Macaca mulatta: one gene and its partner. The protein of the gene in region 2 purifies or fractionates together with the protein of the main gene of each other region. This does not show direct contact. Links are inferred from orthologs where the notes say so. Each region holds a gene or a part of one and is shown on either strand. Other genes may lie near its edges.

The links.
Region 1: the proteins of UTRN (region 2) and DTNA purify together in Homo sapiens (affinity purification with mass spectrometry; 3 studies listed by BioGRID and IntAct, with this or other methods). This does not show direct contact. The link is inferred for Macaca mulatta from reciprocal best matches to the Homo sapiens genes UTRN and DTNA.

What each region holds. Positions count from the first base shown.
Region 1 is NC_133423.1:57,646,885-57,650,706, reverse strand, and holds part of DTNA (dystrobrevin alpha), read left to right. Parts: intron 1-626; coding exon 627-732; intron 733-2,889; coding exon 2,890-3,056; intron 3,057-3,822. UniProt on the Homo sapiens protein: May be involved in the formation and stability of synapses as well as being involved in the clustering of nicotinic acetylcholine receptors.
Region 2 is NC_133409.1:49,693,134-49,696,955, reverse strand, and holds part of UTRN (utrophin), read right to left. Parts: intron 3,250-3,822; coding exon 3,099-3,249; intron 1,618-3,098; coding exon 1,498-1,617; intron 1-1,497.

The DNA of each region.
Region 1 (3,822 bases), on a different chromosome or scaffold from region 2:
TGCATTCCTTTTGTACATCCAAAAGGACCTGGATATTGAGAAAGAAGCAGACTGAATTGAGAGGAATTATATATAAAGTAATAAAAGGAACGAGTTTTTAAAAATTTAGATGGTTCTGTCCTAACAGGATTCCCTCCTGCTCCTGTATAATAGAACCATTGACATTAACCACTAAATATTTAGTACTTAAGGAAGTTGAGGAAGCTCGAAAGGGAAGTTGTTCTATAAATTTAGAAGACTGACTGATAGGTAAATTATAAAGTGAGCTATGATGCATTCTTGAGTAAAATTCCATGGAGAATTTCAATTCTTTATTTTTCTTCATTATTTTTATACTGTCTTTCATATATACAAATGATGCTCTCAGAATTGTTTTTCTCCTGGTGCTACTATTGACTCAGCCTCAGTGGAGAGAATTCAGTCCTATGTATGCTTAGGTATAAAAAGCAAGCAATGTTTTCAGTTCTGAACTAGTTTAATATTGGCAAGTTCTGTTTCTTCAGATATTAGAGGTTTATTGAGTGCTCTTTTGTTTCAGTCTCAAATGATATGATATTTACATAGCAGGTAAATTGAGATGATTCTCTGTCCTAAATTTATGGTTTTTTGTTTTTTTTTTAATGCAGAAAAAAGTCACGTTAAATGGTTTTTTGGACACGCTTATGTCAGATCCTCCCCCGCAGTGTCTGGTCTGGTTGCCTCTTCTGCATCGACTAGCGAATGTGGAAAATGGTGAGTAGTTACTACCGAGCAAAGGTGATTTTTTAAATTATTGAAATTAGGCCATTAGTTCTACAGTTAGTAAGCCCAGGTCGTTGTTTTAGGGAAGCCTATTTAGTGCCTCTTAGTTTTGTTTAGGAGAGAACTAACCCATCTCCCTGTTCGGGAAGGCCTTAAAGGACCACTGAAAAATTAGGACTGTCAGTTCTAAAAACTTAGTAAATCTCATGGTGTTCTTCTTAATTACAAGTCAGGTGTGGTTAAAAGACTTGGCACAATAGAAGGCGAACTTCAACAAGGAGTGTGACATTATTTTGTATTTGTTTTAGATCTGAATTTCTCATATTTGCATACATGGCACTGATTATTTCTTCCCAGTTACTCAACCAGAAATAGGTGGGAGAAATGAGAAAAAAAATAGATGATAGCACCCTGTTAATCTTCAGTCATATGTTCCAGATTGTGAGCTTTCAATAGTTGTACTAACGTTAAAGATAAGAGTAAAATAACTTTCGTATCATGTCTTTTTTTAAAGCAAGTATTTCTAGGATAAAAGGAACTGCTGTTGGCATATCCAGATTTAAGTATGAAATACAGTTTGGGGCAAATTTTACAGAAATTTAAACATGGAACTGTTCAGTGCCTCCATCTCATCTTTAGGTGTTCCTACTTACTGTTCAATGTAACTCTGAAATTTCTCCAGACTTGACGAGGAAATAATTTAGTCTATATCTCTTACTAGAGATTTAAGTCTCTATATATTACTCAACTTCTGTGTATTTCTTTAATATACATTGAAACTAAAGTTAGCTTAATTTTAAATTATCATTCAAAATTTTGAGCATCTGCCCTTATTTATCTCAGTTAGTTAAAAGTTATGAATTTATCCTGTTTTTCTAATGGAGAAAATTTAAAGAATGAATTTACTTTTTTTTTTTTGCAATCACTAACAATCATAGCTTTTTTGTTTATCCATATGCAGAAGTGAAGAGCAATCAAGGTCCATGTTAGTATGCAAAATGAGTTCATGTTACTGTTTACAGTTCTAGAACTAGTCATTTTCCAATCATAAAGCTATAATTTCATTCCTTCTCTCTCAGCATTTCCTGCTGCAGGAGATCAGTTTCTCAGGCACTGTCCCAGAACAGTTGTCCCTAGATTCAAGTCCCACTCTAGTCTTTCTCAAGAGCCAGAAAGGAAGGTTATGACACTTGTTTAGAAGACAGTGCTTCCAGAGCTAGTTATGTCTTTGTTTTTACACTTTGCTTTTTATCTTCATTTATTATTATTTGTAGTGTTTTTCCTGACTGGTTAGGCCAGAGAATAGCTTTACCAAAGGCAAGAATTGTTATTGTCGTTTTAGTATCTAGCTCATAGCATGTAGATAATTACTTGGATTTGATCACTTAAATCTAATATTTTACTTTGCTTCAAATCTAGTATTTTGCTTTGCCTGCTTTATAATTCAAATTTCCTATCAAAGAAAGTTAACTGTCTCTTGAGGTATCTGAATTATTTAGAACTGTTTTCAGATAACTTACACATCTTTTTTAGGGCCCTATACTCCTGCCTCAGGAAAGAAAAAAAAAAAAATCTCTTTGTCAGATATAGGCAACACCAGTCGTTAAGTAAGCCATTAGTCACTCTATTTTTTAAAAAGTAACTTAATTCTCACATCCACATCCAGTTTTCCACTCTCTGCCCGTCTTGCTTTCTTTTTTCTTCCTCTCATTCTCCATGTCTCTGATATTTGCTCTCTTCCCACTGGACAATCGGCATTCACCCCTTGTGTTTCTGAGTCTTCCAGTGAGCTGTGCTGGTCTCCTGGAGACAGAGGGCAGTTTGGGGTAAAGGCAAGTCTGTTTGGGCAATTTAAATTCTTGTTAGGTGAGAGATGGGAATAGAAAGAGCAAATGGCATTACAGAGATTGTTGTTGTTAAAAGGACATCTCTTCTCCATCCCATTTCATTTCATTTCCCCACAGGCATGATTGAAAAGGGTTGTGGGAGAATCCAGGAATGAACTAAATGTTTTTCTGAGCCCAAATCAACTATCATCTGAAATCGTGGTGCAGAGAAGAAAGGTACAATTCCTGTAAGGCTGTATTTTTCCTTCTTCTGGTTCATACTTTTGTTTTCTTGTTTTTTCTTCACTTACTTCCCCCTTAGTCTTCCATCCGGTGGAGTGTTCCTACTGCCACAGTGAGAGTATGATGGGATTTCGCTACCGATGCCAACAGTGTCACAATTACCAGCTCTGTCAGGACTGCTTCTGGAGGGGACATGCCGGTGGTTCTCATAGCAACCAGCACCAAATGAAAGAGTACACGTCATGGGTAAGGCAAGGTCCAGGCAATACTTGGAGTTGGATGTGTGAGTGTTGCCCAGAATTAAAGGGAATATCAAGGATGGTGGCAGAATTAAAGGGCAAACTTACCTTCTATCCCAGGTCTAGTATTCAGTCCCCCTTCCTCCCACCCTCCACCCCACTGGGTGCTCTTACTTATTCTGTTGGAACCCAGTGTAGCTTCCTGAGACTTAAAATATAGGAAGACTCAAAACTATGTTACTTCTTGGAATATAGATAATTCAGTACCGATTTAAATAACAACTGAACAGCAAGGACCTTCTGGAACATAGTCTTACATTCACAGTAAGTTAAAATCTTTTCCAAGTTTTGTTTTGTGGAAACGGCTGAAAAATTATTGTTAGTTTTATTTTTCTTAGATTCTGGAGTTCTTGTAAGTGCATGACTAGAATATTAAAGAAACAAGTATGAGAGAGGAGAGTGTGGACTTAATAATACTGTTCCATTTTACTTTTCTGCAGAGGGTGGGGAGGGGAGATTGTGGTTATATTAGCAAACCATCTTTTCATGAAGAGTCTGAGTGACCAACCTGGCAAAGGTGGCATGTGAGTGTCTGTGTGATAGATGTCTTCTCAGGAGCATGTGGCACCAGGTCTGTGGGAGGAAATGTGACTCTGTGAGCTCATTGTTCAAGTGGATTATGATTTACGGACGTTTATCTTAGTTAAACTCAAAGATCAGTTCCAGCAGTGTTGCCCTTGTGCATCTCTTCAAGGATGGGTTTTTGTAGGGTG
Region 2 (3,822 bases):
CTAGGTACTTGACGCCCTGCATCCCAGCTGCTCCAGCAATGACTAAAGGGGCAAAAGCACAGCTCAGGCCATGGCTTCAGAAGGTGCAAGCCACAAGCTTTGGCTTGTGGTGTTGAGCCTGCAGGTACACAGAAGTCAAGAATTGAGATTTGGGAACATCCACCTAGATTTCAGAGGATGTATGGAAACACCTGGACGTCCAGGCAGAAGTTTGCTGCAGGGGTGGGGCTCTCACGGAGAACCTCTGCCAGGGCAGTGCAGAAGGGAAATGTGACCCAAACAGAGTCCCTACTGGGGCACCACCTAGTGGAGCTGTGAGAAGAGCGCCACTGTCCTCCAGACCCCAGGTTGGTAGATCCACTGATAGCTTGCACCGTGCACCTGGAAAAGCCGCAGACACTTAACACTGGCCCATGAAAGCAGTCAGGAGGGGGATATTTCCTGCAAAGCCACAGGGGCAGAGCTGCCCAAGACCATGGGAACCTACATCTTGCATAGGTGTGACCTGGATGTGAAACATGAAGTCAAAGGAGATCATTATGGAGCTTTAAGATTTGACTGCCCCACCGGATTTCATACTTGAATGGGGACTGTAGCCCTTTTGTTTTGGCCAATTTCTCCCATTTGGAACAGATTTATTTACTCTTTACCTGTATCCCCATTGTATCTAGGAAGTAACTAACTTGCTTTTGACTTCGCAGGCTCATAGGCACAAGGGATTTGCCTTGTCTCAGATGAGACTTTGGACTGTGGACTTTTGAGTTAATGCTGAAATGAGTTAAGACTTTGGGGGTGCTGTTGGGAAAGCACGATTGGTTGTGAAATGTGAGGACGCAAGATTTGGGAGGGACCAGGGGCAGAATGATATGGTTTGCTTGTGTCCCCATCCGAGTCTCATCTTGAATTGTAACTCCCACAATTCCCACGTTTCAAGGGAGGAACCCAGTGGGAGGTAATTGATTCATGGGGGCAGGTCTTTTTCTTGCTGTTCTTGTGACAGTGAATAAGTCTCACGAGATCTGATGGTTTTAAAAAAGGGAGTTTCCCTACACAAGCTCTCTCTCTTTGCCTGCCACCATCCATGTAAAATATGACTTGCTCCTCCTTCCCTTCCGATATGATTGTGAGGTCTCCCCAGCCACATGGAACTGTAAATCTATTAAACCTCTTTTTCTTCCCAGCCTTAGGTGTGTCTTTATCAGCAGTGTGAAAACGGACTAATACACTGTGCTTCTAAATCTTGTCATTATGCACAAGGAAGCTGGGGACTGCAACAAGTCTCACTCATTCACCCCAAGAGCTTAAGTAAAGGAATCAATACCTGGGTACTCCTGTAGCCCACACACTGTAGAATCCCAACTGGGAAATACAACCAAAGGTAGGTTTTTCTACCCTTCTGGATAAAGAATGAGAAAGTACATGAAGAACAAGAGCAATATGTAATTGGGTCTCAGATCACAGGTCCCTCAGGATTATCCAACTTTACAGGGCCCTTACCTGTAACTGGTCTTCTAGGATAGCTGTAGCACTCTCACCACTGTTTTCATCAACAATGACCACCATGTGAGTTAGCGAATTTACTTTCACCTGTTCAGCCTCAAGATCACTTTGCAAACTCTAGAGAAAAAAATTAAGATAAACCATTATTTCTACTCTTTCACATTTACCTATTTAAAATGCACTCAGTTGTCAATAGTAATTAAGGACAGTTATGAGGCATCGTATTTAAATTTCCAGTCAGTACCCCAAGTGTTCTACTAATGAAACTAATCCTATCTTACATCTTTACATTCCATTATCAACAAAGGCAGTTTGAGGATGCAATGTTATAACAGACTGCAAATGGAGATACCACCACTTTTATTCAAGTTCTGACCCTCCCTCAGAATTTATAGCATAAAGGAGTTGAGTGCCCATACTAAGAATTAAGACAAAAATGTAGAGGTGATAAAGCAAAAAAGTCCAGAGCTTAAATATACCAAGTCAGAAATCATTTTATCTAGTGTAGGACGGTATAAAGAGATAAGTAGAATGCTACATGATAGTCAAAAGTTACTCTGATTAGCTACCCAATAAAGCGGCTAAGGAAGTATGGACACTTTAGATTCTCTCACCTTTTCCATGGGAAGAGCATAGTCATTGGATACATGTGTATAGAAAATTTATAGGCTGGGCATGGTGGCTCACATCTGTAATCCCAGCACTTTGGGAAGCCAAGGCAGGTGGATCACTTGAGGTCAGGAGTTCAAGACCAGCCTGGCCAACATGGTGAAACCCCAACTTTACTAAAAATACAAAAAATTAGCCGTGGTGGCACACGCCTATAGTCCTAGCTACTTGGGAGGCTGAGGTGGGAGAATCGCTTGAACCCAGGGGGGAGCTGAGATTTTGCCATTGCACTCCAGCCTGGGTGATAGAGCAAGACTCCATCTCAAAAAAAAAAAAAGAAAAAAAAGAAAAGAAAGAAAATGTATTTAAACACTATCAATAGTGTTCTCACAAGCTTCTCAGAGGTGTGTTTAATGTATTCCTAAAATTTTACGCATCAGTTACCTCAGTGTTTCACTGATCAATAAAAGTCTTCAGTTTACAGAGAGCATATTTTATTCTACCTTTCCTTATCTTAACTATGAAAAGTTTATCTCCTAAGCTTGTGACCAAATTAAAAGCCCAACTAATATCAGTTCCTCCCGTAACGCTTGATGCTTTCCTGGATCACAGACAAAGAAACAGCTCTCCTTAAAGGTTTAGGTACAGACACCTCTCAGAATTTGCTCTTCACCCACACACCGTGTGAACGCCAGCAATGGTAGGGTTCTTCACCACTTACAGGGTCAAAAGAACCCTTCTCCAGTTGTATGAAAGCTATGTACTTTCATAAGAAAACTGCACATCACATATAAAATTTTACCCTGCCCTTTTATCCCTGGCTCAGAAAAGTCTCATCCCCATCAATTCCACCGTGAGCTACTAAATGAAGAGAACCCTGAAGAAGTGTTGCAACTTCATGTTAATGATAGACATCATCAGCCTCTGAGATGCTAAGTGCTGCTCTTTCATATTTGGTAAGGTATCAAAGAAATACGAGACAGATTTACTTTATGTTCTTCTAGCAGCTTTTGTAGGGATTGTACATCATCGTCCAGGGGGCAAGTTTCCATCTTCTGAATGCGCTCCTCTGTGAGTGTTAACCAGGTGGAGAGCTGCTGCAGTTGCTTCTTCTGTAGTTCCATCAGCACGTCGTGCAGCCTGCCCGTGGGGAGCACAGCATTATTCCTACAAGCCTTTTCCCTTTGCAAAGTCAAATACACATTCTGGGCACCAGAGATACAGGGCAAGGGAAAACACCCTTGTCTAAACATTCTAGGTAGCATTTAGTCTTTAAATATAGAAGCCAGGAAAGTAAACTTTTATTTTTTCCTAAATGGAGTTCATTAAATGCAGACAAAGAATGCAAATAACAGCACCCTGTATTCATATCAGAATCATTATTTCTTCAGTCAGGAATTCCTACTTATTAAATAGGTGGAAGTTTGCTCCAGAAGATACAATACATGAAATAAAATAAACCATGAGAAAGCTTTAAAATAAAAGTTACAAAATGGAAAAGTAGATCAATACTACATAGTCCTGTCTTCACACCAAGTTAATGTTTAGCTGATTTTAATATTGCAAATAAGTAACTGCCCATATGAAATGTCTTTTCCTTTTTCTGGAGACAGTCTCACTTTGTTGCCCAGGCTGGAGTGCAGTGGCTGAATCTCAGCTCACTGCAACCTCTAACTCCTGGTTCAAGGAATTCTCAAACCTCAACCTCCCAAA